2 linked regions of the Xenopus tropicalis genome follow. The protein of the gene in region 2 purifies or fractionates together with the protein of the main gene of each other region. This does not show direct contact. Links are inferred from orthologs where the notes say so. Each region holds a gene or a part of one and is shown on either strand. Other genes may lie near its edges. The genes, in order: apba2 and clstn1.

Region 1 (3,832 bases), on a different chromosome or scaffold from region 2:
GCTTCCTCAACTTGGTTATGTTCCTCTAAAGAGCTATCCTGCCCTAATGTAATCATCTGATTTTCTTCCTCTGTGTCTCTATCAATACAATGCTGTTGTTGTGTCTTGGATTCTGTCCATTCATCTTCTACTGCTTCTACACATTCATCAGTTTCTATATGGTGTTCTTCATGGTGAATATACTCCTCTCCATTGCAGTCCATGCCTTCAAGATAACTGTCATCTTCAGGACAATAACGTATATAATAGGTGATTCCTTCCTCTTCATCAGGAAGTCCTTCATCATATTCTTCATCAGAGGTATTATTCACATAATCAGAACTAGAGTCCCCATCACCACTGTTGTCATTGCAGTCATGGTCTTCTTGGGTGTTTGACATGTGTCTGCTCTTTGAAATCCGTGAGTTAAAGTCTGGTACTATAACTTCTTCATAAACAGATTCTTCACTTCCAGGGTCCATGGCATGAGGAGAAGGAGGACAAGACCTCGGTCTCTGATCCATTATGCTGGCCGTTGTGCTCTGACATTTACGATTTGCCATATTCAGCAACTTACATGACCATCATTTCTTGACAAATACTATAGAAAAATAAAAGAATGAAGTTAGCTATAATTCGAAAGTTATACTTTAATGCATAATAAAAATATTTTGTAATTTGTAAGGATTAGTCTAGCATAATGTAATATTTTTTTTACAATATCAGGTAATATGTATGCCAAGTTATATATAAACTAAATACTAAGGTTAGTAAGTACGCAAACCTGTTGACTCATTGATAATGCAACTGTAATGCATCTAGCAGCAAGCACCAGCAACTGAAAATTTTATTAGAGATTCAAATAATCTGAAAACTATTTAAAAAGTAGTATATTATATTAGTAATCTCAGTAAAACAATTATTGTTCATATAGAAAGCTAAGTTAACAGGGCTATAATAATAAATAATGGATATACCAGAAAACAGACTTTCACCATTAAAAAAATAGTGGCATCTAGAAGTGGTGCACAATCTTGTTTCTTTGTACCCTGACTTTATAGGCCTTAGCTATACTGTATAACAAAATATATAAATAATTACAAAGAGTGCATAGATAGGTATCCAGTTTTTATAAGCTGGACTGTATAGATCAATACAGTTATGTTAAAGGAAAAAGAAAGGTAAATACTAAGTAAGCTTTATCAGAAAGGTCTATGTAAATACAGCACTCACAGAAATGCTGCACTGACTTCTCTGAAAAAAGATTAGTTGTGTCTGTTTACCTCTGCCAGAGACACGCAGCTTTCTGCTCTCTCCTCTCTGCTGCTCCCCCCTCCCCTCAAGAATGCTAAGAACTCACTCCCCCCCTTAGGAATGTGGATCTGAGCCAATCAGCAGGAAGCTGACTCATAGTCTTACTAACTGAGCATGTTCAGTTTGGTCTCGGTGTCTTTGCAGGAGTGAGGCATTATGGGAACTTTGTTTACACAGCTCAGTGTTTTTTCTTCCTGTTTGGCTTCAGCTCTTCTGAACAGGTGAAATATGGGGAGACTTAAGGGCACTATTGAGACAACTGAAGGTATGCCTGCAGTTTGAGATTAACTCTTTACTAGCCTTTCCTTATCCTTTAATGATATCTAAAAGATGATTTCACTGCATGAACACTGCACTGCATGAACACAATGTAATGTGTCTGTATAATATTTTCACGCCTCACAATTGTAAAAAAAAAGTAAAAACATGTCTATTTCCACACCAGCAAAGATAGCCTCTGCAGATTTTAAGAATGGTGCAATGGTGATATATATTGATAATGATTTTGCAACATATAACATGTTTATTGATGGAATGTTTTTATTTTATTGTTTCTCTAGAGCAGAGTTAGGAAAAAATTGTATCTTTATTAAAACCAACAGATTTTCACCAGATTCCAAAATACAACTGTTTAACCCTGGTAACTAGGCTGTTACACCTTGGTACCACAGGGCAGGCTCAGGGTAGGACTGGGGGGTGAAGGGCCCCGCTCCGGTCTGGGCCGCCGGGGCCCACCGGGATTTTTCCCAGTGTCCCGGCGGCCCAGTCCGACCCTGGGCAGCAGGGGCGCTTCTGCCATTAGGCGAGTTGAGAAACTCGCCTCAGGCGGCAGAAGCGCCCCAGTTACCAGGGGCGGCAAAAAGGCGCTCCTGGTAACTTTAAGAGCCGAATTTCCGGTTCTTAAAGTTACCAGGAGCGCCTTTTTAAACCGGAAATTCGGCTCTTCTAGTGCAGAGAGCGCAATTGCGCTCTCTGCACTAGCGATCTCACTGCCCCCGGACCCGCTCCTGCGCTCAGAAGGTAAGCGCTGGGGAGCGGCATCCAGGAGCGGCATCCAGGAGCCGCCTCAGGCGGCGATATGTCCAGAATCGCCCCTGCTGGGCAGGCTTGCCCAACTGTAAACACATCACTCCAGTCCCTTCAAGGGCTGTTATAAATCATCCTCCAAGCATAAGATGTAATAACATCAGAAAGGTTCATAAGCTTTATGCCTAACAAAAAAAGGAGGTGGAAAGCGAGTTAACACCAGATTGATAAATAATGTTGTAACTGTCATAACTAGTGAGACGTCACATTAAATACATGTCGATCTATATTTTGTGATCTATGAAATTCCAAAATATAGCAATGTTAGCTATAGTGTCTAATTCACGCAACACACAGTTTCCTTTTTTTGACTGACACTTTTTCTCTGTAATAAAAAAAAAAAAAAAGAGTGCTTTGTAATAAATAGGTAAGCTAGTATACATCAAATTCTTATTGCAAAACTACTGCATTGAGGTACCTAATCTTCATATCGGTATATTTATATTAATTATTGCTATGTTTAACCCGTCTATTTGTACAATTTGAATACAGCTATGGGATCTGTTATCTAGAAAGCTTCAAATTACGGGAAATTCTTCTTCCATAGACTTCATTGTAATCAAATAATTAAAAAATTTTTAAATTATTACCCTTTTCTTTGTAATGCTAAAACAGTATTTGGTAATTCATCCTAACTAATATATCATTACTCTTTATTGGAGGCAAAATAATTAATGTTAAATGACTTAATATCCCCCTATGTGTGTCTGTAATTTACCCCCCCCCATTTAGATTATAAGCCCTACAGGCATCAACCCCCATTCTCTTGTTTCTTGGGGGTGATTTATCAACGGTCGATTTCAATTTTTTTTCTCGATTTGAGTTTCTGAAATTCGAGTTATAGTTCAAAATCTCGAATGTTTGGTGCAAAAAACCTGAAAACTCAAATTTAAAAATTAGCTATGTAAAAGCTTGCAAGTGTCTATAGAAGTCAATGAGAGTTGTCAGGATAAAGTCAAGCCATATTCTCAAACTCAAATTTTTTACATTTTTGAGTTTTTAGAGCTTGTAAACTCGAAAAATTCGAAAGATATTCAAGTTTTTCATTCCAACAAGTTTTCCTTATTAATAAATAAGCGACCATTCAATATGCAAGTTTATTTGATTTAGAAAAACAAACTCGAAAATTGATAACTAAGCCCATTAGCTCTGGAGAATCTTTAATGTATCTGTACTTTGTATTTATTTGTATTTATTATCATACTTGTATGTGTTTATCTATTATTGTAATGACTTGTTTGTTCCATTAATATATTGCTCTGCTGTACAGTGATGCATATATAAGCACTATATAAATACAAATACAGTACATACATACAATTCTCTTATTTTATATGTTTACATTTTACTAACTTAAAGCTACGGTGCTGCACTTTAAGCAAAGATCCATTATCTAGAAAACCCCAAAGTAAAGCTCTTCACAAAAAAACTAAAACCTAGGAATTTAGAGTGA
Region 2 (3,832 bases):
ACCAATTTTATTATTTTTAAACCTCAACAAATGCTGCAAAGTGAGTGTGGGAGCCTTTTCCATCAAAAAGGAGTTATACAAGGTATTGCACTTGGGAGATGGCAATAAGTACCCGATGTAAAAATGAGTTTCAGCAGGTTTAGGTGCAACAGGCTTTTTAAAAATGATACATTGACCAGTAAATTATAATCTACTTTAAAAGTTTATTTATTTTGAAGTAAAACTTTTTTTTCCTAATAAGAAATAATGCAGCCATCTCACCTGGTTAAGTTTCCAATTGAATTCTGCAGGTTTATAGATCTCCTCTGAAGCCACCTGGTGAAGGAGAAAACCTAGCTTGCAGTTGTGTATGTAGAGAAAATAGTGATGCTGACTTATTTCTATTGAAAAGAAGAAGAGAATAAAATAACAAAACATTTTTAAAATATAACCTAATAAAATAGGGTCACGTCACCTAAATAATAACAAAGCATCAGTACATATGTTTTTGGTATGCAAATCTACTCCAAAGAATAATTTGGAACACTGTTAACTACAAATTCCCAAACACTGATGCCAAGTGCACACGTGCATAGGATCTATTCAGGCCCAGATTGGCAATCTGTGGATTCTGGCAAATGCCAGAGAGGCTGCTATAAAACGCCATAGACATTCACTATTTTTTGGCCTGGTAGGGGCTGTTTGGGCCTCTCGGTACTTGGAATGCTAGGGTCCAATTTGAATCCCAATCCAGTCCTGGATCTATTATCTGGAAAGGTTTGGGTGCTAGAATACTCTGGATAAGGTTTTTTTTTCACAATTTAGGTCATACCATAAATCTACAAAAGAGTATTTAAAAATTATATTATTCAAAATTTGCCACCAATTTGGATTTATGCTAGCTTAGTTACAATCGAGTACAAAGTACTAGATTGAACCAAGAATAATTAAGAGGAAACGAAAAAGAAAGTGGTGGGAAACACCACCAAACCTTGGTAGTAATAACAATACTTTAGGGCTAGAGGTATCAGTAAAATACAGTTAATGTATCGAAAAATACCGCCAAGGATTAGTTAAAAAAATATTTTAAGATTAACTAAACCAAACTGAGTTGTTTTGCCACCAATATGGATTTAGGCAGCTTAGTGTGGACAAGATACTGTTTTCCTTTTTTAAAACAAAAGAAAATCATTATTAAAGATTAGAACTATTTGCTTAAAATGGACTTGGGAGATGGCCTTCTTGTAATATTAAGCTGTGTGGATAATGGGTTTCCTGATAAGGGATCCCATAACCTATACTTTTGCTTGGGTACCCCTTATGGAAACACTACCATTTTAAGCCCTAATGTCTGTGTTTTACTTTAGCTTTTATATGCTAAAACAAAGAGCACATTTATATATTAGGTTACATCAGGCATTGAATGGACAGAGCTATTATTTACTCGTCCCCTTCATTCTACAACAGAACCTGCATTTTCTCCATGTCCAGTGTCCAAGAAGACCAAGAACACCACAAAACAGTGGCTTAATGTATAATATCATGGGCAGCATGGTAGCTCAGGGTAAAGTACTTCTGCTTTACTACACAGGTGTTATGAGATTTATTCTGGGTTATTAGTTACTTTGCATGTAAACCTGTATGTTCAACATCCATTGATTTACAGTACCTTGCAGAATTATAACAACAACAATAATGTTAATACTTTGGTTTCCTCCACTCAAAACACATACTGGCAGGTTAATTTGCTCCTCATAAAATTGCCCATTGTGTGAATGTAATAGGACCTTAGGCTGTAAGCTCCACTGGGTCAGGTACTGATGTGAATAATGTAGAATATCTGTAAATCTCTGTGTAAATGTGTCAGGACTATATAAATACCAGGAAATCAATATATAAGAAATCTGTTGGTTAAATTTGTGTTCAGAACATATTAGTTTTCCTCTATGTATAAACATTAAGCTTGCTTGAGGTAAGTTTCTAGAGGCCAAAAACAGAATGAACTGCTTTTTTATAGTTGTTTAAAAAAATGTTAAAAGAACTCAAGTATAAATGCAAATGTAGAGAAGAAATATGATTTTTTTTCCCCCACCAATGATGCATCTACTGTATAACCCAAAATACCTGTTTTGCCAGAAAAGCACAACACTGATTCCTTCTCTTTGCCACCAGTTCCATGTCGCATCCAAACAGAAATCACAAAGGGCTCATCAAAGTTCAAAGTCACAAATTCATCTGGAATCTTTACTGCCTGAGTGCCATTGAATTCAAATACCTGGTCACTCTCATGACCATTATCCGTGGGAAGCCCTAAGGTCCAGTTTGTGGTCATGCTGGGAGATGGAAGCAGTTCTACTACATCAGAGGAAGACCCTGCAAGCAAAATTAGAATATGCAAAAAACAAATTACTTTTCAAATGTAATATTTCCCTCTTACCAGTTATGTGCCAGTTGCACATAACATGCCTGTCTACCTTACTATGCTTTCCCAATGTGACAATCTCTTGCCCTCTTATGCCTGTGCCAAGCACTCCTCTCACTCCCCCATCCTCACATGGCAACTATCCCTTTTATTTTCCCGAGTCACTACCCCGCCCCCCCCCCTTGATTCATCCGCCCCCCCCCACGCCATGTCTTACAATAAACAGCAACTTGTTTTATGTAATGCTGTATGATTGTGCTCTGTACAGCATATACATTTTTAAAGACATTTATAACAAACACCCCGTGCTAATTATTTTATTAGGGTGGTAGGAATGGACCAATAATAGTATGTGCAAATGTTTTTTGTACAATCTCCCTTATATTCAATTGTGAGGGTTTATTAAAGAAAGTTTGGGAATGGACCAATATTAACATGTGCAAATGTTCTTTACAGTCTCCCATATATTCAACAGTAAACGTGGCCCATATACGGTACAATCCGCTGGTTTGGCAAGGTCCCCAAAAGGCCAGATCTTTTCCCGATCTTCTCCCAATATGCCCACCTAAGGTGGGGGATATTGGAATAATTTGATAATTTGACCCTGGGGCCAAACTATCTAATAACTGTGGGTATATAAGCTGTCGGACAGAGGACCGCATCAATAAGCCAATGTGGTTCCAGATCTCGCGGGAAATTCAAACCTGCCTGATTGAGATCTGCCCGATTTTGTGCCAGATATCAGTCGGGTAGGCCGGGGGGGTGGGTGCCCATACAGGAGCACATAAGCTGCCAAATCGGTCTGAAGGACCCGAATCAGCAGCTGAAATCAGCCCATGTATTGCCACCTTTAGAGTTTGTCCTCAGGTGTTGTCCCTGAGGTTGTGCTGAATATCTGCTGAGACATAGCAGATGTTTACTATTAAGTACCTTTATATAAGGATCTTTGCATTTAGCAAACAAATATTATTTTCTTTAAATCGGGCTAAAAGCAGCGTGAGCTAAAAGCTTTGAATATTAAGATTTTTCTTCCCTATACAATAAGTCTTCTGTGTATGTTTTTTTACACATATCTTCCATGCCACTACAAACCTATAGGTAGTTTTTGCCCTGCCCACACAAGGAGGTAGGGTCAGTATTTTTGTCCTTCTGGAAAGGGTGGAAGGATGTCTGTTGTCACATTTTTGTTTAATACATCATTATAGAAAGAAAGCCCAATTTGGCTCCTTGTGAATTTTACCTCTGTACAGAGGAATAATTCCCAGGTAATGGAGAAGAAACTGACTGAAGCCCCATAATGTACAATATGTGTTTGGATACATAATGTATGACTTTTTAGCATGTATCTGCAAGCATGATGCTTGGAGTTCATATGCAAGGTGGATTAAACTTGTTGCTTTTTATTTCCTGTCAGTGTTTGCATGTGAGGTC

What was found.
Region 1: the proteins of clstn1 (region 2) and apba2 purify together in Homo sapiens (affinity purification with western blotting; 3 studies listed by BioGRID and IntAct, with this or other methods). This does not show direct contact. The link is inferred for Xenopus tropicalis from reciprocal best matches to the Homo sapiens genes CLSTN1 and APBA2.

The regions. Positions count from the first base shown.
Region 1 is NC_030679.2:97,171,129-97,174,960, reverse strand, and holds part of apba2 (amyloid-beta A4 precursor protein-binding family A member 2), read right to left. Parts: intron 581-3,832; 5' UTR 543-580; coding exon 1-542. UniProt on the Homo sapiens protein: Putative function in synaptic vesicle exocytosis by binding to STXBP1, an essential component of the synaptic vesicle exocytotic machinery. May modulate processing of the amyloid-beta precursor protein (APP) and hence formation of APP-beta.
Region 2 is NC_030683.2:55,938,934-55,942,765, reverse strand, and holds part of clstn1 (calsyntenin-1), read right to left. Parts: intron 2,353-3,832; coding exon 2,104-2,352; intron 381-2,103; coding exon 262-380; intron 1-261. UniProt on the Homo sapiens protein: Postsynaptic adhesion molecule that binds to presynaptic neurexins to mediate both excitatory and inhibitory synapse formation.